Linked DNA regions of Arabidopsis thaliana. The protein of the gene in region 1 interacts with the protein of each later gene in a pairwise test. Each region holds a gene or a part of one and is shown in the gene's direction. Other genes may lie near its edges. The genes, in order: AT2G27290, ZF14, AST91 and AT2G25310.

The links.
Region 2: the proteins of AT2G27290 (region 1) and ZF14 interact in a protein complementation assay, tested with the Arabidopsis thaliana proteins (one large-scale study listed by BioGRID).
Region 3: the proteins of AT2G27290 (region 1) and AST91 interact in a protein complementation assay, tested with the Arabidopsis thaliana proteins (one large-scale study listed by BioGRID).
Region 4: the proteins of AT2G27290 (region 1) and AT2G25310 interact in a protein complementation assay, tested with the Arabidopsis thaliana proteins (one large-scale study listed by BioGRID).

Annotation. Positions count from the first base shown.
Region 1 is NC_003071.7:11,677,750-11,681,794, reverse strand, and holds AT2G27290 (FAM210B-like protein, putative (DUF1279)), read left to right. Parts: upstream 1-1,875; 5' UTR 1,876-2,029; coding exon 2,030-2,266; intron 2,267-2,752; coding exon 2,753-2,950; intron 2,951-3,038; coding exon 3,039-3,209; 3' UTR 3,210-3,490; downstream 3,491-4,045. Other genes in the region: NTL8 (NTM1-like 8), read left to right, coding at 1-20, 94-347, 420-617, 1,004-1,378; AT2G27285 (nuclear speckle splicing regulatory-like protein (DUF2040)), read left to right, coding at 3,898-4,045.
Region 2 is NC_003070.9:21,651,170-21,655,942, forward strand, and holds ZF14 (MATE efflux family protein), read left to right. Parts: upstream 1-1,818; 5' UTR 1,819-1,992; coding exon 1,993-2,154; intron 2,155-2,511; coding exon 2,512-3,948; 3' UTR 3,949-4,270; downstream 4,271-4,773.
Region 3 is NC_003070.9:8,184,385-8,190,844, reverse strand, and holds AST91 (sulfate transporter 91), read left to right. Parts: upstream 1-1,610; 5' UTR 1,611-1,890; coding exon 1,891-2,139; exon of another isoform or gene 2,140-2,255; coding exon 2,256-2,304; exon of another isoform or gene 2,305-2,389; coding exon 2,390-2,597; intron 2,598-3,134; coding exon 3,135-3,306; intron 3,307-3,383; coding exon 3,384-3,449; intron 3,450-3,714; coding exon 3,715-3,828; intron 3,829-3,915; coding exon 3,916-4,032; intron 4,033-4,218; coding exon 4,219-4,823; intron 4,824-5,031; coding exon 5,032-5,117; intron 5,118-5,282; coding exon 5,283-5,359; intron 5,360-5,454; coding exon 5,455-5,607; 3' UTR 5,608-5,920; downstream 5,921-6,460. UniProt on the Arabidopsis thaliana protein: H(+)/sulfate cotransporter that may play a role in the regulation of sulfate assimilation.
Region 4 is NC_003071.7:10,776,531-10,781,044, reverse strand, and holds AT2G25310 (ER membrane protein complex subunit-like protein (DUF2012)), read left to right. Parts: upstream 1-1,780; 5' UTR 1,781-1,921; coding exon 1,922-2,022; intron 2,023-2,212; coding exon 2,213-2,259; intron 2,260-2,456; coding exon 2,457-2,556; intron 2,557-2,798; coding exon 2,799-2,862; intron 2,863-2,954; coding exon 2,955-3,071; intron 3,072-3,173; coding exon 3,174-3,282; intron 3,283-3,514; coding exon 3,515-3,609; 3' UTR 3,610-3,977; downstream 3,978-4,514. Other genes in the region: AT2G25312 (ECA1 gametogenesis related family protein), read left to right, coding at 636-971.

The DNA of each region.
Region 1 (4,045 bases):
CGAGCCGTGGGACTTGCCAGGTTTTACTTCGGTTTTCTTTCTCTTTATGTTTACTTTGGTTCACTAATTTGAATGTTTGTGCCTATAAAACAGAGGAATCGAAACTGAAATCGGAGAACGAGTGGTTTTACTTCTGCGCGAGGGGGAGGAAGTACCCGCACGGGTCACAAAGCCGGCGAGCCACACAGCTAGGATATTGGAAAGCGACCGGTAAAGAGCGGAGTGTTAAATCCGGGAACCAAGTTGTTGGAACCAAGAGAACGCTTGTATTTCATATCGGTCGGGCTCCTCGTGGCGAGAGAACGGAGTGGATTATGCATGAATACTGCATCCATGGAGCCCCACAGGTTCTTAAAACTTTCATTTTGAATAGGTTGAGTTTTAATGTTTTGAGATATATTGAAATTTGGATTTCACAGGATGCATTAGTGGTGTGCCGGTTAAGAAAAAATGCTGATTTTCGGGCTAGTTCGACCCAAAAAATGGAGGATGGTGTTGTGCAAGACGATGGCTACGTTGGCCAAAGAGGTGGTTTGGAGAAGGAGGACAAATCCTACTATGAATCTGAGCATCAGATACCAAATGGTGACATCGCAGAATCATCAAATGTTGTTGAGGTCAGCTTGCTTTTGAGGAATGTGTCTTTTAACGATGTTTAATACTGGTAAAATTATCCGCTCCAATCTTAATCGAAACCACATTAAATTCAATATAGTTCCGAAAACAGAACCGATTAAGAAACTAAAACCAAACCAACACCATAGTACCATACTATAACGGATTCATAGTACATTAGATTTCACTAAAGTTGTTATTTTACTAAAGCAGATTCTAAACTTAAAACGTAACAAACCAATATATCCAATGTTTGGTTTTTATTTTGGCTACTAATATTATAACTCAATAGACTAAACCAACACTTGGGCTGAACATCCTTAGTTTTCTTGTACTGGTAGAGTTTAGAGTTTGTAACTGAAGTTGATCTCTTTCTATTGCGATGCAGGATCAGGCCGATACCGATGATGATTGTTACGCCGAGATTCTGAACGATGATATAATAAAGCTCGACGAAGAAGCGTTGAAAGCTAGCCAAGCGTTTCGACCAACTAATCCAACTCATCAAGAAACAATATCAAGCGAGTCATCGAGTAAGAGGTCAAAATGTGGTATAAAAAAAGAATCAACGGAAACAATGAATTGTTACGCTTTGTTCAGGATCAAGAACGTTGCCGGAACCGACTCCAGCTGGAGATTCCCGAACCCGTTCAAAATCAAGAAAGATGATAGCCAGAGATTGATGAAGAATGTTCTGGCCACTACTGTTTTCTTGGCTATCTTATTTTCTTTCTTTTGGACTGTATTAATAGCTAGGAACTAAAGCTAGTTACGACATACATATTATTTATACATAAATAAATATAGTATTTGGTCTATGGCAATATGGCATGTTGAGCTAGTCTTAACAATTATTCAAACTTGTGTACAAACCAAAATTTTTATGGAAAAGAGAATATTTTCGGATAGTAAACCTTTATAATCTGGGTGAAAGCTTTGGGAAAGAGATGATAGTTCCGTGAAAATAGAGACAACAAATTTCACATATAGTAAATGTGAATAATACCACCATTTCCTTAAGTTTTGCTGTTTGTTGTATTAGAGATTGCAAAGTGATATTCTTAGTTATATACAATTGTAATAAATTATACAAAATCCATAAGTAAAATAAATTATTTTAGACTATGTTTAGATATACAAAAGTTTCAGTTCAAAATATAAACGCCTGAGAATCAAACAAATGTTGTTTGTAGTTTTTTATATTTATAAAATAGTCTAAAAATATTTTTCTTACTTATGGATTTTTTATACTATATTAAAGTTTTATATATGTAAAAGATTACTCTGGAACCTCTAATACAACAAATGGTATACCTTCAGAAAAAAATAAAAAATAATTGTGTGTCATACAATAAATAAAAATAATAAGGTGAAAAGATTTGCTTTCTGTTTTTTTTGGTGGCTGAAAAAAACAATGGCGATGATGCTTCTGCAAATTCCTCCTTCGTCTTCCTTGTTGAACACCAGAAACCTTCAAATCCGATTCTTCCACTCTTCAGTTTCAGCTTCCTCGAAGAAATTCAGATGCAGAGCCGTCCGTGAGAAGGCGGAGGACATTGATAAGAACATTTCGCCGCCGTCTTCTTCTCCTCCTCCTCCTTCCGCCGAAGAAGTTACCAAGAAATATGGCCTTGAAGTTGGTCTATGGAAGGTAAAATCAATTCGATTGCGCAATTTCTCGTTTTAATTCGTAATCTAAAATTGATGATTCTATCGCTATGGAAGCTTTAAGTGTAAGTAAAATAGTGTTTTTGGATGAACATGTGAGGACATATGATTGTTTCTGAGCTGAATGATAGGCTAATTCAGAGCAATTTTGGTATTAGTAGAAGCTATTGAAGCTTTAAGTGTAACTAAAATGGTGTTTTGTATGATTATGTGAGCAATTTTGTAGTTGTTGAAGCTATGGAAGCTTCTAAGGGTACTAAAATGGTGTTTAGATGATTATGTGAGTAGATATGATCGTTTTCGTGGTAGTTGTAGAAGTTATGTAAGCTTTTAACTATGCTAAAATGGTGTTTTTTTTTATCAACAAGTGAGCATATGTGATTGGTTAGTTTGGAGCATTTTTGGAAGTTGTAGAATCTATGGAAGTTTTTGTGTAGTAAAATGGTGTTTTGGATGGACTTGTGATTAGATATTAAGCTCTAAGGATGATGAAGGAAGTGATGGAGACAATAAGAAGAAGAAATCAAAAACAGATGAGGCTAAAGAGTTACTTGCAAAGTATGGTGGTGCTTATCTCGCTACATCTATTACTCTTTCTCTCATTTCCTTCTCACTCTGCTATGTCCTTGTGACTTCCGGTGTTGATGTTCAAGCTCTTCTTCTAAAGGTTACTACTTTCACTTCTTGATCATACTAAGTTTATGTTTTCTTGATCTTGGGTTGAGTAAAGCTGATTTTGATGTTTTGTGTTTAAGGTTGGGATTTCGACGAATGAGACAGGAGAGAAAGTAGGAGCCTTTGCTTTGGCTTACGCAGCGCATAAAGCTGCATCTCCGATAAGGTTTCCGCCTACAGTGGCTTTGACTCCTATTGTAGCCAATTGGATTGGGAAGAAAGTGGACAAGGAGAAGGATGATGACAAGTAGCTTACTTTGGAGGTATTATAATGTAGATGTTCTATATATTACTTGATAATCAACATACATAATCCTGTACAATCCTCACTTCTCTACCTTGTATGTACAAAAAAGATTGAAGCATATCTGAATATGATGATGAGTTAGAAAGATACAGAACCAAAGAGTGGCAGAATCCAAGTTGTGATATAGTTTTAGACTTGTCTATTTAATATGTGGTTGGTTGGAAATTACGACTTCACGATTCACTAACCTCTAGACATTTGGTAAGTGGGAGAAGTAGTTGTCAAATGGTTGGGAATGATCTCTGTGATCCAGAGCATATGACCTCGATCGTTTTGGTGATGCATTTTAACTTGTACTCTAGAACCTCATTATCTCGGCCCATCAAAATATGAAAACATTGGGCCGTAACAATTGGGCCGTAATCATCTATACCATCTATAGTTAATTGGATCTTTTTATCTCCTCCCTTCCTCTTTCACTTTCTTCCATGGATTACTAAATTCCTTAATCCTGGGAAAATCACACCAATCAACTTTTGTGAATTGTAACCCTAATCGATTCTACAGCGAAATCTACCTATTTCATGCTTGGGTTTGATTAGTGTTTTTCCAGAATCTGGGACTTCGCAGGAATTGCGCTAATTTTCAATCGATTTTGCAGAAGTTTGTTGCTCCTGGAATAGAAATCGAAGATGAAGAAGTACGGATTGCAAATCAGAGCTCCTTCCCAGAAAAAACAATCATCATCTCGACCTCCACTTCGACCCGCTTCAATATTTGATGAAGAAGAAGATCACGACGTCGAGAAGGAGATTTCTCGTCAAGCAACAAAGACCAAAG
Region 2 (4,773 bases), on another chromosome or scaffold:
ACTTGATATATTTTTGCATACACGTGAGAAATTTGGTCAATAGAAATGCTGATCTACCGATAACGGTTTTGATCCTTTTCACGCCAAATTTTATAGAAAATGATCATATGCCAAAAACATATACAACAAATGAAATTGCATGTTGTGGTAAAATATTGATACAACGTTTTAATTAATTGTAATCATTTGATAGAAAACAAGCTATTTTAACATTAATAAGTTATATATAATAAATAAGTTACTATTAATATTTTACATTTACTTTTATAAAGATTTATTTATTTTAAATAGTTTTTAGGTTTCATGGTATGGTGGCAATGAACATGCTTTCAAGCCATTTTCTGCATAATAGTGTTTAACATTACATTACATTACATATATTCATTAAACCTAAATGTTAAAATTATATATGCTAAAGTTGCAATAGACATGCAATTTGAAATTGGAAGAAAATGCTAAATTAAATCTCATGCCATTTTACAGCATAATTTGATATTTTAGACATAGGAAAAACTTAAATTTTATCTTGATTGACTAGGAAAACTTAAATTAACCGTTAGTGCAAAAAAAGAAAGGATTATCTTCACAGAAAGTATATAGACTAATCTAGTGCAGTTTCCTGTTTGACATCATTACACCTAACCTTAAAATTTTCGGAGTTATAAAATAGGACCGACCTCTGTTTCTAAATGTTTCAGCGGAATTAAAGAAAAACAAAATGGCATAAAATTTGTAATTGTGTCACAAATCACAAATGATATAAAATTTCATTTTTTATCAAAAAAAAAGAAAAAAAAAGAAAAAAGAAGGAAAAAAAAAAAGAGAGAGGCAAAATTGGCATATTAATAGGACCGACCTTAGTTGGTTTTGTTTGTTTTTAATATTTGCTATGGAGTATGTGTTTTAGCAAAAACAAATCATAAATGTATATACATTGTTAAGTGTATAAAAATTGTAAATCCGTAAAATTTGAGTCAAATAGCATACAATATCTATAAATGCCATAAAAATGTAAAATTCATTTAATTATAAATCTAAATCCTAACTACTATTATATAAATCCAAACCGATATATAATCTCGTTTAATTAGAAAATTTAAAACCTTTATTATCTTTTATAAACCTAAATCAATATTTAAACTTGTTTAATTGTAAAATTTAAATCTGTTTATAAACTCAAACCGATATTCAATCTCATCAATCATAAAATTGAAATCTTAACTTTTTCTTATAACTGATATATAATTTTTTTATGGCAAATTATATTTTCTAATTAAATTAATTTAATATTATTTATTAGGTGGTAGATTTTGATTGGCTAGAATAAAAAAGTTCACCCAAGTATTTTTCAAAACAAGTACTAACCCCATCAACTTATGTGACCAACCGTTATTGAATAAATGCTTTTTATCCTCTCAGCCTAAGAGGTAACAACAGCCTGATATTCTAGCACTTAGGACGACTGTGAATTCGCCAGCCGACATAACCGAAAGAGTTCAATATATAGTGAAGCCCAAAGTTGAGTTAAAGATTAGGAAAGAGATTTGCTATTATTAAAGGTAATGCGATGTATTTTAAAATAGTTAACTAAACCAATTTTTATGTCTTTCTTCAAAAGTGAACTCTTGAGCTATCCTAAACCTGTGTGTCGTTCTTCTCACAGACTTATTTGGTGGACACACGATTTGTTTAGTCAAAGCAAACAAAAAAAGTCCCACTTCCCTATTAGAAAATCAATTCTTTGTTAAAAAGAAATTAAAACTAATTTTCGCCACGTGTAGAAACGATATCGCTTCTTTACAACTATAAATAGTCAGCCTTTCTCCTCCAAAAGGCCCAACCAATTCCATATTAAAAATATTAGTTCCTCTCGGTTCCTTTTATCATTTGCATAAAATCGTTTTGCCTCCAAAAGACTAAAAGCTCTAGACTTTGTCTCTTTGTCCTTTTATCTCTACTCCCAACAAAACCAGTTTACTCCTCTTAAGAATCATGTGTAATTCAAAACCATCTTCTGCTTCATCTTCCTTATTATCTTGTAAAGACAAAACCCATATCTCAAAACTCGAAACCTGTGATACAGATAATCCTCATTATTCTGAATTCAGGGATACTGATTCTCTAGACCTTAAAAGATGGCCAAGTTTTCTGGAGGTAAATTATTTCTTTTTTTTTCCTATACGTAAATGTTTGTTTTTTTCTACATAGATATGAACATAATAATTCAAGAATCTAGTTCTTGACAAAACTAGATTGTACGAACTATACCAAAAGCATATATACATATACATATATATAAATAGAAACAACAGTTTCGCAATCCTTTTTATATATATACCTAAATCTTTGGTCCCGGTTGGTGATTTGGTTTTGTCATTTTTTTATAAAGGTTTAAGATAAGCTTTATTTGATTAATATAATTAACCATTAACCAGGGAAAAGAAAAAAACGATCTACTGACGTGGACGGTTCTTGGTCTTGACTTTTCTTTTCTTAATTATCTGGCGGCAGGGCTTAGAGGAAGTGAAGGCGATCGGAAAAATCTCTGGGCCGACGGCGATGACCGGGCTTCTTATGTACTCAAGAGCGATGATATCGATGCTGTTCTTAGGCTACCTCGGTGAGCTTGAGTTAGCCGGAGGATCTCTCTCCATAGGCTTTGCCAATATCACCGGCTACTCCGTCATCTCCGGTTTGTCCATGGGGATGGAACCAATCTGTGGCCAAGCATACGGAGCTAAACAAATGAAGCTTTTAGGACTAACCCTTCAAAGAACCGTCCTCCTACTCCTCTCCTGCTCGGTCCCTATCTCCTTCTCGTGGCTCAACATGCGCCGAATCCTCTTATGGTGCGGCCAAGATGAAGAGATCTCCTCTGTTGCTCAACAGTTCCTTCTATTCGCCATCCCTGACCTCTTCCTTCTCTCTCTGCTTCACCCTCTTCGAATTTACCTCCGAACACAAAACATTACATTGCCCGTGACTTACTCCACGGCCGTGTCCGTTCTCCTCCACGTTCCTTTGAACTACCTCCTAGTGGTGAAACTTGAGATGGGAGTAGCGGGAGTCGCTATAGCTATGGTTTTGACAAATCTCAACCTTGTAGTCCTCTTATCCTCTTTTGTGTATTTCACTAGCGTGCATAGTGATACATGGGTCCCAATTACTATTGACTCTCTTAAAGGTTGGTCGGCTTTGCTCTCACTTGCCATACCCACTTGTGTATCTGTTTGTTTGGAGTGGTGGTGGTACGAGTTTATGATCATTTTGTGTGGACTTTTGGCTAACCCAAGAGCCACCGTGGCTTCCATGGGAATCTTGATCCAAACGACGGCTTTGGTCTACGTCTTCCCATCCTCTCTCAGCCTTGGTGTCTCTACAAGAATTAGCAACGAGCTTGGGGCTAAACGTCCGGCGAAAGCTCGGGTATCCATGATCATCTCACTCTTCTGCGCGATCGCCTTAGGCCTAATGGCGATGGTGTTTGCTGTGCTGGTTAGGCACCATTGGGGACGCTTGTTTACCACGGATGCAGAGATTCTTCAGCTGACTTCCATCGCATTACCCATTGTGGGGTTATGTGAGCTCGGAAACTGTCCTCAAACAACCGGTTGTGGGGTTTTAAGAGGCTGTGCAAGACCTACACTTGGTGCCAACATAAACTTGGGTTCATTTTACTTTGTGGGCATGCCAGTCGCTATTCTGTTTGGGTTTGTTTTCAAACAAGGGTTTCCAGGTCTCTGGTTCGGGTTGCTTGCAGCTCAAGCAACTTGTGCTTCTCTCATGTTGTGTGCACTTTTGAGAACAGATTGGAAAGTCCAAGCCGAGAGAGCTGAAGAGCTGACGTCACAAACTCCCGGAAAGTCTCCGCCCCTTCTCCCCATCGCAAGCTCAAAGAGCCGGTCTACCTCCGGTACAGAAGATATGATGAGAACCATGTTGGTTTAGATTGATAGCTATTCTCTGGAGGCATTTGCCATCAACATTGACGTACATATATGTTCTTGTCATCATTTTTTGGAGTTTATAGTGCTCCTTAATTTCTACTTTTTGATTTAAGAACGACTTTGTTTTGTGGGCTTTAGTGGTGTTTGTGTTATTTATGGTTGTATTGGTGTGATAGTTCTAATTAGCTTTGACTTCAGCAGTTTGTATTTTATGTGTTCCCTTTTGTAATAACTCGTGGTTTGATTATCTTTATATATTTGTCCATTTTCTAGGAGAATGTGAATTTTTTTTGTTAAACTAAGAATAAATTTATTTTATTTTATTTTTGTCACAAAAACTAAGTATAAATCAAAATGAAAAATTTAACCTCAATACAACTTTAATATATATATATATATATATATATATAAAAAGATTCCAAGATACTAGACGTGTCTAGGCCATTGAAATCTAGAGAAAGACCATACTAGTAGATCAAACCTAATGGCCGAAGACAATCAGAATAACTAAGGATACAGTAAAAATGTTCCATAATAGGTTAATTTTTTTGCAATTTATTTTGTATTCGTATTTGTGTTGTGAAAGCTTTGCTTATTTAACAATCAATTCTTTTCTTAAGGACAGGCAAGATGAATGTTTTATTTTTGAGCTTTTGGTGGTTCCATGTTCCATAAAAGGAAATTATATTCGTAGCCAAAAATGGAAAACAATTTCCTTTAATTCTATCATATTCTTTGTCTCAAAGCCATTGAGATTCGATACGTTTTAAAATTTAATTGAGATCACATTTATTTTGATTTTGGTTGTTTCCTTTGAGCAGAGAGA
Region 3 (6,460 bases), on another chromosome or scaffold:
AATCAATTATCTTGGATAATTGTTGATGCAAGATCAGACATTATATCCATATATATAAATATGTTATATAGATATGTATTAATATCTTTAGCCAAAGACGATAAGTCTAAAATCATCAACATTTTTTGTCCGGGTCAATGTAACAACTAACAACTCCTACTGTAGACTAGCTAGTTGGTCGTCTGATCGTCTCTCTGTTTGTTAGCGATCTCAACGGGTACATGAACAGATAGTTATGCATTATTGATACTCAAATTTTCTTAGTTGTTATGTTTTTAATATGTAACTAGATTTTAATCCGCGGTACACCGCGGAGATAATTTATTTTTTTAAGTTAATATATATAAAAATTTTGCAAATTATATCTATTTATAAATTATTTTTATTTTATAGTTTACAATTGTTATTAAGTAACGTCCTTCCAAACCCGTTCCGCCAAACCCGTCCTGTAAAAAAAGCTCGCGGTACCCCGCTAATTTAAATTTATAATTAAAATAAATATTTTACGGGATTGCAATTGTGTTTTAGTTTGTCAAACAAAATTTTGTTTTAAATAGTTGTCGAAATCTAGTTCAAATTTTGAAGAAATAAGATTTAGTGAATTGATAAAAAATGTATTTAGTTGCGTTTTGCTCATTTTAAGGGATTGCAATTGTCTTTTGGGTTGTCAAACATTTTTTGTTTTAATTAGTTGCCGAAATTTAGTTTAAATTTTGGAAAAATCTGCGTGATATATGGGATTGGAATATATTTAGAATGTTTTTCGTTTGTTAATCAATTTATTGCTAAAAAACTAATAATTAAAAGTCAGTGGCAGCCTTTGTAAATAAGTTCCAACTCCAGGATTTATTTCACAAAATGGCTGCAAAAATGTATATATAGATTCACCCATTTATTTATTATTCATAGTATTATAGTACTATCTTCGTGTCTTTTTACTTGGTGTTTAAAGTTTTTGTACACCGATTGAATCATTTTTAATTTTATTTTTTTAAACATCAATTTATCTAATTAACCAATAGAAAAAATTATCTGTATATTATAAATCATCAAAACCAATAAAAAAAAACTAATTAATATTGCATTAAAAATTAAAAACATCATCTAATTTAGAACATTTTTTCCTACTATAACATTAACATCAACTAAATACGGAGAAAACGTTGTACTGAGGTTCTTGCATTTTAAAATTTTGGAAACTAAGAATGTTAAAAAAATTATGGTTACAAATATATATATAGTGTTATAATTAGTACTTATCGTACTTAATAAAAAAGATACTAATTAGTTGTTGTTATATTATTTTCTACAAAAATAAAATCATTCAACTAAAATGTTCTATTTGTCAGTCGCTTCACAAAACTATGCATCTACCATACCAGTGATCATAATTATAAAACTCTGTTTTTGTTTTTTGTCTTTACAACCACTTAAATACGTCATAGCTATATATGCATTATTACAAGTTCTCAAGGTGGCGCGCGAATGTTTTAATTAAAATATTATGTTTTTCTTATGTATTTCATCTTTAATCGAACATAGAAAATGTGAAAGATTTGGAGCATAGACACGAATCAGTTTTTTTTTTTTACACGAATCAATATTCATAGGGTAAATAATAGACAAACGCCAACAAAAAAAAAAAAGAGAAATTCACAACGGATTATCGGCTCAAATTACAAAACAAAAAAAAAATACAGAGACAACAGTATACGTGTAACTTTCCGAATTTTTTTTTTTTTCATATCAAAAATAAAAGATAGGCCAAGATAAGACCATTATAAAATGTAAAGACCGACCCGAAATAATACTCATGTTTAAATTATCAGCAAAGAGCCAAGAGAGGAAACATCACACATTGGTGACAAAAATTCTTAGGAAAACCAATTAATGGAGGTGCACAAGGTGGTTGCTCCGCCGCATAAGAGCACGGTGGCAAAGCTAAAGACAAAACTGAAGGAGACTTTCTTCCCGGACGATCCCTTAAGACAGTTCAGAGGACAACCAAACCGTACCAAGCTCATACGCGCCGCTCAATACATTTTTCCAATCCTCCAATGGTGTCCTGAGTACAGCTTCAGCCTACTCAAATCCGACGTCGTTTCAGGTCTTACCATCGCTAGTTTAGCTATTCCTCAGGTACGTACGTATCAAAAATCCGACGACGACCCATTTTCACGTTCCGATCAATAACGACCACCATTTTATGCAATTCTTGATTATAATCTTCGTCTTCTTGGTTTTCATAAAAACAGGGGATTAGTTACGCGAAGCTAGCAAATTTGCCACCAATCGTTGGTCTATGTAAGAATCTGAAAGTAAAATTGAATAGAATATACATGAAACATTATAGACCGTTACATAAACACGTGTGTTGATGTATGTGTAGACTCGAGCTTCGTGCCACCGTTGGTTTATGCGGTCTTGGGAAGCTCAAGAGATCTAGCAGTGGGACCAGTCTCCATAGCGTCGTTAATCTTAGGATCCATGCTAAGGCAACAAGTATCTCCCGTAGACGATCCTGTTCTCTTTCTACAGCTAGCCTTCTCTTCTACCTTCTTTGCTGGTCTCTTTCAAGCCTCTCTTGGAATCCTCAGGTTATAAATTTATATATTTACCTAAAAAGTTTTTTGTAGCTTTGCATGAACCATGATTTATATCTGTTGAAATATAGTGTGTTATGTGAGGTCAATATTGGGCCTGTGCTAGGCTAGTGGCAGTCTGTAGGGTTACATGTACACGCTAGTATTACTAAATGTTAAATGTCGTCGGTGCTTATATTAATTGCTTTTCAAGATTAGAAAACAAAGTTAAGATTGTTTTCAGGTTTAATGTTTGGGTAGTACATATTTACTAGACAATTATCATTATTGACCCTAGTCCAAAATATAATAAGCTTTTTAGAAAAAGTGATAAATAATCATTAATCAATCATATATTATTATTCTATCACTAGTGAAAAATAAATATTTTCATAAAATGTTCTAAGAAATATTAATGTGTATTCTAACACAAATATAAAATAATTCATGATCAAACAAAAAAGAGTAATTGCACCACCAAGTGGCAATGGAGAAGATGTTGTTTAAGAAAAAGAGACATTGTGTTAACTGTATTTATTTTTTAATATGTAGGCTGGGATTTATAATAGACTTTCTATCAAAAGCGACGCTAATAGGGTTTATGGGTGGAGCAGCCATAATTGTATCACTCCAACAGCTAAAGGGTCTGCTTGGGATAACTCATTTCACAAAGCATATGAGTGTAGTCCCTGTTCTCTCCTCTGTTTTCCAACACACCAACGAGGTTTAATTTCTCTTCTTCTTCTTTTTCCTAATTCCTGTATTTTAGTCAATTTTATTTACAATGTTACTATTATACAGTGGTCATGGCAAACAATTGTGATGGGAGTTTGCTTCTTGCTCTTCTTGCTCTCGACACGTCACCTCGTATGTTGCTTACCTCTCACTATTCATTTATCATTTTCATTCTCCCTCAATATGCATGTACAACATTTGTTACGATGGACCGTCATTGTTTCTCTCTATACGTTCTTCCCGCCATAAATAACGAACTAATTGTTTTGGAGTAGAAAAACAAATTGTTATTTCATCAAAAAGTTAAATATATAATTAATTTAATGACTTAAATAGCTATTACATACTTTGATCTGGTTTCCTCTTAAGTAATAATAAGAATGGAAATTTAACGCAGAGCATGAAGAAGCCGAAGCTGTTTTGGGTCTCAGCCGGAGCACCACTTCTTTCCGTTATCGTCTCTACACTTCTTGTCTTTGTTTTCAGAGCCGAGCGTCACGGAATCAGCGTCGTAAGTTTCCTCTTACCTAAACCAATTCTCTGTTTTTGTTTCTTTGTTTTGCAGAATTTTTGAAATCTAGGATTAATTTGTTGATAGATCGGGAAATTACCAGAAGGTTTGAATCCACCGTCTTGGAACATGCTTCAGTTTCACGGTAGTCATCTCGCACTCGTCGCCAAAACCGGACTCGTCACCGGAATCGTCTCCCTCACGGTATAGTTTTTTTTTATTCTTTTCAAACGCAACTTTTACGTGAGAAATAAATTTATCACATTTTCGTAATACAAATCAGCTTTTATTTTTCCATAAAAAACCTTTTTATTGTCTATGCAAAAAAAGAAAAAAAAGAAAGTAGAGATTGAAATAATCCTCACACCTAACTAGCTATTACTTGAACAGGAAGGAATCGCAGTGGGAAGAACATTTGCAGCGCTAAAGAACTACCACGTAGATGGAAACAAAGAGATGATCGCCATTGGTCTGATGAACGTAGTAGGCTCTGCCACATCTTGCTACGTCACAACCGGAGCATTCTCTAGATCAGCGGTCAACAACAACGCGGGAGCTAAAACCGCAGTTTCAAACATTGTTATGTCGGTCACTGTTATGGTTACGCTTCTCTTCCTAATGCCGCTTTTCGAATACACTCCCAATGTGGTCCTCGGTGCCATCATTGTGACCGCGGTCATTGGTCTCATCGACCTTCCCGCGGCCTGTCACATATGGAAGATCGATAAATTTGATTTCTTGGTGATGCTTTGCGCGTTCTTTGGTGTCATTTTCCTATCCGTTCAAAACGGTCTAGCCATTGCGGTGGGGCTATCGTTGTTCAAGATATTGATGCAAGTAACAAGGCCGAAAATGGTTATAATGGGTAATATTCCTGGAACGGATATATACCGAGATCTTCATCATTACAAAGAAGCACAAAGGATCCCGGGATTTCTTGTTTTAAGCATCGAATCTCCTGTCAATTTCGCCAATTCTAACTACCTCACTGAAAGGTTAGCTATGAAACTACGATCCTTTCTATATAGATTTTGGAAGTTCGGATACATTAGACTTTGATCTCTTAAATGTTTATGAACCCTGATGTTTATTAGATTGTAACCACATTTCTTAATACATTTTTTTTGTCAACACCACATTTCTTAATAGCTATGTTTCATTTACTAACATTCTCTGCTTTTGTGTTGCATAAATTTTTTGTAGAACATCTCGTTGGATTGAAGAATGCGAAGAAGAGGAAGCTCAAGAGAAGCATTCTAGCCTACAGTTCTTGATTCTTGAAATGTCAGGTTAGTCTTGATAGAATCTATTAGAAACCCGTATAGGAAATGTGATTAGACTTAAAGGCAAATTCACTCATTGCTAATTAGTTTTAATTTTCTAATGCAAAACCATAAAACTCAAGAAAACCAATATATTTCAACTAGCTAACTTTGCTTTTATATATGTTAAAGCCGTGAGCGGTGTAGACACAAACGGAGTGTCCTTTTTTAAGGAACTTAAGAAAACAACCGCCAAGAAGGACATCGAGGTAAAAATAGTTGTTTTCACAATCCGATTTTGTCACTTATCCAAGGAAACTAATTAGATTTTGATCTAAACTGGATATTTATTTTATGTGTGAAGCTTGTGTTTGTGAACCCTCTAAGCGAAGTGGTGGAGAAGCTTCAAAGAGCTGACGAACAAAAAGAGTTCATGAGGCCCGAGTTTCTCTTCTTAACCGTCGCTGAGGCCGTTGCGTCGCTCTCTCTTAAAGGGCCATCTCTCAGTAACGTTTAACTATAATTTTTTGTATCGGTCCAATATTGATATTTAACCGATGGTTAAATTTTTCTTTTTGTCTCTTTTTCATCTTTTAATTTCAGTACAGATGTAATATTACGTTCTTCTCTCTCTTTCTTCAGTGATGATTTTGGTCAAGATATGTTTGTATGATTTCGCCATTTTGTAGTTTACTAGGCCATGTTTAGTCTCCGAGAATAAAATTGATCTAGAATCGAATTGATATCTTAGCTAGATCAAACGGATGTATATCCAAATTATTTATGAAATAAACTGATTAAATAAAAAAATAAAAATAATATTTTTATTTAAGATAATTATGTTTTATAATATTAGAAAATATGACCAAACCATGAGCAGAATTGTGTTAAGAACTTTGCCAAGTTAGAGCTTACATTATATATCAAAAGTCAATGTGTAATTGTCAAGAGGGATAAACCGACGCGGATGAATCGAAGAAGCAATTGCTTTCAAGAAGACTTCAAATCAGCTATGTGTCTGCGATTATAATTGTGTAAACGTTATAAGCAAGAAATTTATCTCAAAATAAAACTGGTCTATAAATCAAATCGAATTGAAAATTTAGCTAGATTAAAAGATGAAATGAACTGATAACATAAACTAATAGATATTTTTAATAAGATGTTACTACTTTTGTGAAATGATAAAATATTTCTGAAGTTAATCGAATTCATTCAAAGCTATGATAACATTGTGACTTCTAGGAAAAAACAATTCTTGATACGGTCGCGGAAAGATCTTGATAACATTGTGACTTCCAGTCTTCCATATGGCATAAGGTATTCTTTTACACTAATACTTTCCCGACAACAACAACGAAAAACTCCAA
Region 4 (4,514 bases), 900 kb from region 1:
ATGATCATCATGATCACAATCATTAGCTTTTTTTTCGTCTATTCACCACCTCACAATTTTGTGATTTGTTTCACTTGGGTTTAAATGGGGCTTAATCATAATGTTAAAACAAAATTGCCTAATAACATTGGAGTGGAATGTTACATATTAGTTATTTATTTGTTTATCATTTTGTTAGAATATTTTTCGGTTTTATTGAAAATAATATATAAGATATATTTTCTTATTATTAAAAACATATATTTTCAAAATATAATCTTCGATAAAATTGTAATAAATTTTTTTAAAAAGAAAAGGATTTTTTTTTTTTTTGTAAAAGTATGTAAATGGAATATATAGTTACCCTTAGTATACATAAAATTGTCAAAAATGGTTAACGCAATACTTCTGACCAAAAAAAGAAATTGATTCATTACATTGTATTTCTATTTTTATTTAGTAAATACATTGTATTCTTTTTCTCAGGAACATACAATTTTTGAAGGCAACTATCACATGCATGTACACAATCTTTTTTAAAAAGCAATATATATCGTTTAGCAAGAAGTTTTATAACCATAAATGTATATAAATACTATAAACAATGTAGCAGTACCGATCACAATATAAAATACAAGTTTTACAAACATTTAATAATGGGTGAGAGCATACAAAGAGTGTGTGCGTCTATCTTAACGGTGATGGTTGTGATGTTATCACTTCTTGAAGATACTAAAGGTAATAATGATTTTGCAATGGCTCCAATTTCAGAGAATGGGTTGCTACCAAATCCAATGGCTTGTGTGAAAGATGCAGGAAAAATTCCAGATTGTGTAGAGGCAATGAAACAAGGTTATTTAAAAGATATAACAAAAGAGTGTTGCTTTATTCTACTTAGTCTTCCCGAAGATTGTTTTGGGATTCTATTTCCTATGCGTTTATACTATCGTATCGTACTTAAGGTTACATGCAAATTATTAGGCATTTTTTAATCACAATTTTTTCAATCATTAGATATTTCTTTTCATGTAACGGTAATTTATTATTAAGATTTATAATAAAATCATCGTTCTTTTAGTGATTTATTAATTATTACCTAAATGATTATACTATAAGTAAGAAATAATATGTGTTGGCTATACTAACTAAAAATTGGACTAGTGATTGTGAGGCCCTTAGTGAGTAGATTAACGAGAAAATGATATTTTCATGCATATACAATTTACAAAGCGTGTTTTCCTACTTTTACAAACACATATGATCAATTCATACCCAAACTACACAAAATTCAAGTTATATATCATTCTAATTTATTAGTCAACCATTACGGTTGCTCAGTCTGCTAACATGTATCTCATGATGTTGCTTAAAACGACATCGTTTTGTTTGTTAGAGCTGAAATTTTATAAACTGTATTTGGTTGACTAACATTCATTAATTATGATTCTAAATTATGTTCTAAATGTGAGTTTGGGTATAAAATTCAAATATTTGTGTAATTTCGATATGAATTATCTTAAGTGTTTGTACATATAAAAAAAAAACACATTTTACAAATTATACATGTAAGAAAATACACTTTACAAATTACACAGGTATGAAAATTATACACTTAATATAGAACAACAACAATTTTGGGGTGAAAATGTAGACTGTCTAAGTGCAAATTGGATCGCATTTTAGCAAACGAAACTAAGTATATAGAATTGTAGATTCCGGTTTAGAGACGAAAAAAAAAAAATCCGGTTTAGAACATCGACCAAATAGGGTTAAGTTAACTGAACTTTTCAGGGTAAAAAAAGTAAAATAAAATAAAATTAAACCAGTACCTTCTCAGTTATCCAGAAGGTTTTGATTTGGTTTTCCTTAACATCCTTCGTCGCCGGAATTTGACGACTAATATCAGACTTCATCAGCTTACGTCGATCTACGTACGACGGCTATGACGATGACGTCGATCATCAGATCCAGTCCTACTCTCGCTTTCATCGTCTTACAGATTTGCTTCATCTTCTTTGCTTCCACTTTCCCTTGCTCTTCTGGGTAAGTAAATCGTTCTCTGTCTTTGATTTCTCTGCTAAATCATCTCAATTATCTAGTCGATGCAATTTCCTGCGAATTTCTTCTGTTGATAATTTGTCTCAATTTGATGATTTAGTTGCTTGCCGAGTTCAGTACTTTGATTTTTTGGAGATCCGAGAATTTATTTCTCTTTGTGTGGTTTATTGTGCAGGTCTGAGGATAGTTACACCATTACTGGTAGAGTCAAGATTCCACCAAGTAGGTTTTAACTTTTCCCTTCTTCTCTCTTTGGGATCTTCCCAAAGATTACTTTACCTTTACGGTTCCAACAATCAGTTCCTAATCTAAAAAGTGATGTGTAGTCTGTTTTGATGTTTTGAATGATGAAATTTGACTGCTTCATGTTTATTCTGAATGTTAAACTCTGTTGAACTGATCTACAAGTTATTTCGTAGGCAACGTGATTGGTCACATAGCAAAGTTCTCAAATGTCAAAGTTATACTCAATGGTGGACAGAAGATTACGTTTCTCAGGCCTGATGGATACTTTACTTTGTATCCTTTTGATCCTTCTGTTATTAAAGTTTCTTTTGAGTATATTATTACTCACAGTAGCTGATGATTGGTTTCTTACTTGCCTTTGATATATGCCAAAAGAAATCATGTTCAGTATTGGCTTGTTATAAATGTTGCTAGAAATAGATCAGGAGAACTAAATACCTTTATGGTTTCATGAAAAGAAGAGTAGTGGAGATGATTCTTACTTTTTGCGGTCCTTGACTAATTGGTTTGTAAAGTCATGAAGTGCCTGCTGGGACTCATTTGATTGAAGTATCAGCAATGGGTTACTTCTTTTCTCCGGTAAGTTTTTATGTGTTGCTATTAATGGTTTCCAAAACTGCAGTTTTGTAAGAATGTGTTGCTCATGCAATGATGGATAACCAAATTCTTAGGTACGAGTAGATGTTAGTGCTCGGCATCGTGGCAAGGTTCAAGCAACACTAACAGAAACCAGGAGGAGTCTTACTGAGCTGGTTTTGGAGCCATTGAAGGAAGAGCAATATTATGAGGTGAGACTTCACATGACTCTTTTCATTATTTGTTTTGCATGTGCTTCTACACATCTGTTTTTTTCTTTCTTTAATCTGATTTGGTCATGTAAAATACTACAGATTCGAGAGCCTTTCAACATTATGTCGATCGTGAAAAGTCCAATGGGTCTCATGGTGGGATTCATGGTCGTTGTTGTGTTCCTAATGCCCAAATTAATGGAAAACATAGGTACGCTTCTATTACCCTCGAAATGTAGGAGTTCACTATGAGCCAACAGATTCATCTTCCGTGTTTTACTTGTAAACAATTCGACTATGGATTTGATGGACATTTGATGTTCCTTATCACATTTCACCAATCTAGGAGCTTTTAGAGCTCTTGAACTGGTTGGTGGATTGCAAGTTAAGAAGAGTTAGTCATCGTTTGCTGATGAACACACCTAAAATGTTTTCGTAAACAGATCCAGAGGAGATGAAGCAAGCACAAGAGGAAATGAGGAGACAAGGCGTGCCTTCGCTCACAAGCTTGTTACCAGGCGCTGGGGCTAGCCGCTAAGAGTTCCTCGGTTAACTCAATGTATCACAAAAGGAATGAAGAGAGATTTCTCAGTGATCTGAGTGAGTTTGGTTGTTCATCTGCAAGTGATGATTTATTAAAGTTCTCCTTTTGAGTATCTGATATGTATAGTCAACTTGTTTCTAAAACCAGAAATGGTCATCTTATTGTTTGTCCTCGACGTCAACTTGTGCTTATGATATGTAACATTATTTTATTTTTTTATTTTGGCTTTGAAATATTAAACTTGGGAACAAGGAGAGCTCGTTTGGTATCTTTCTAATCGGGTGTAACATCATGTTTCATCTATATAGAAAAAGTTTTATACATTCTCACTTTTAACATTTTGATACTATTATAAATATTTTGGATGATTTCATTTTTTCATCATAACTCTTCATTCGTTTTACTTATAACTATTTTGCATCCTTCTATTTATTAATTGGAGGATTGTGTCTCTTAATCATTACTTTTTGTATTGTATTCGCATAATCTTTCATTACAAATGGGTTGCATTACTTGAGTTTTGTCCATTTATCATAATTCTTCATGATACATATAATAACAATAGAACCTCTTATTTTATAAAAAATCATGTCTTGTACATTTTTTCACCTCTATGCAAATTTTAATATCAGTTGCTCGTGGATAAATCCTCATAGGTAGATGTGTCGAACGGCCGGCCCGCTTTAATCTGGATCGGCCTGCAATAGGCATCTGTTTTTGTAAGATTGCAACGGGCTGGCCCGCTAAGATTACGATTGACGAATTTAATGCATTTATTGTATTCTTAAATATGTAAAAATGTTTGAGGAATAGACAATTTAATACATTCTTTCTTATAAAAATAAAAATCCGAATAAATGTGTTTTGCAGTTCTGAACATTTGTGTCTTGTTATCGCAA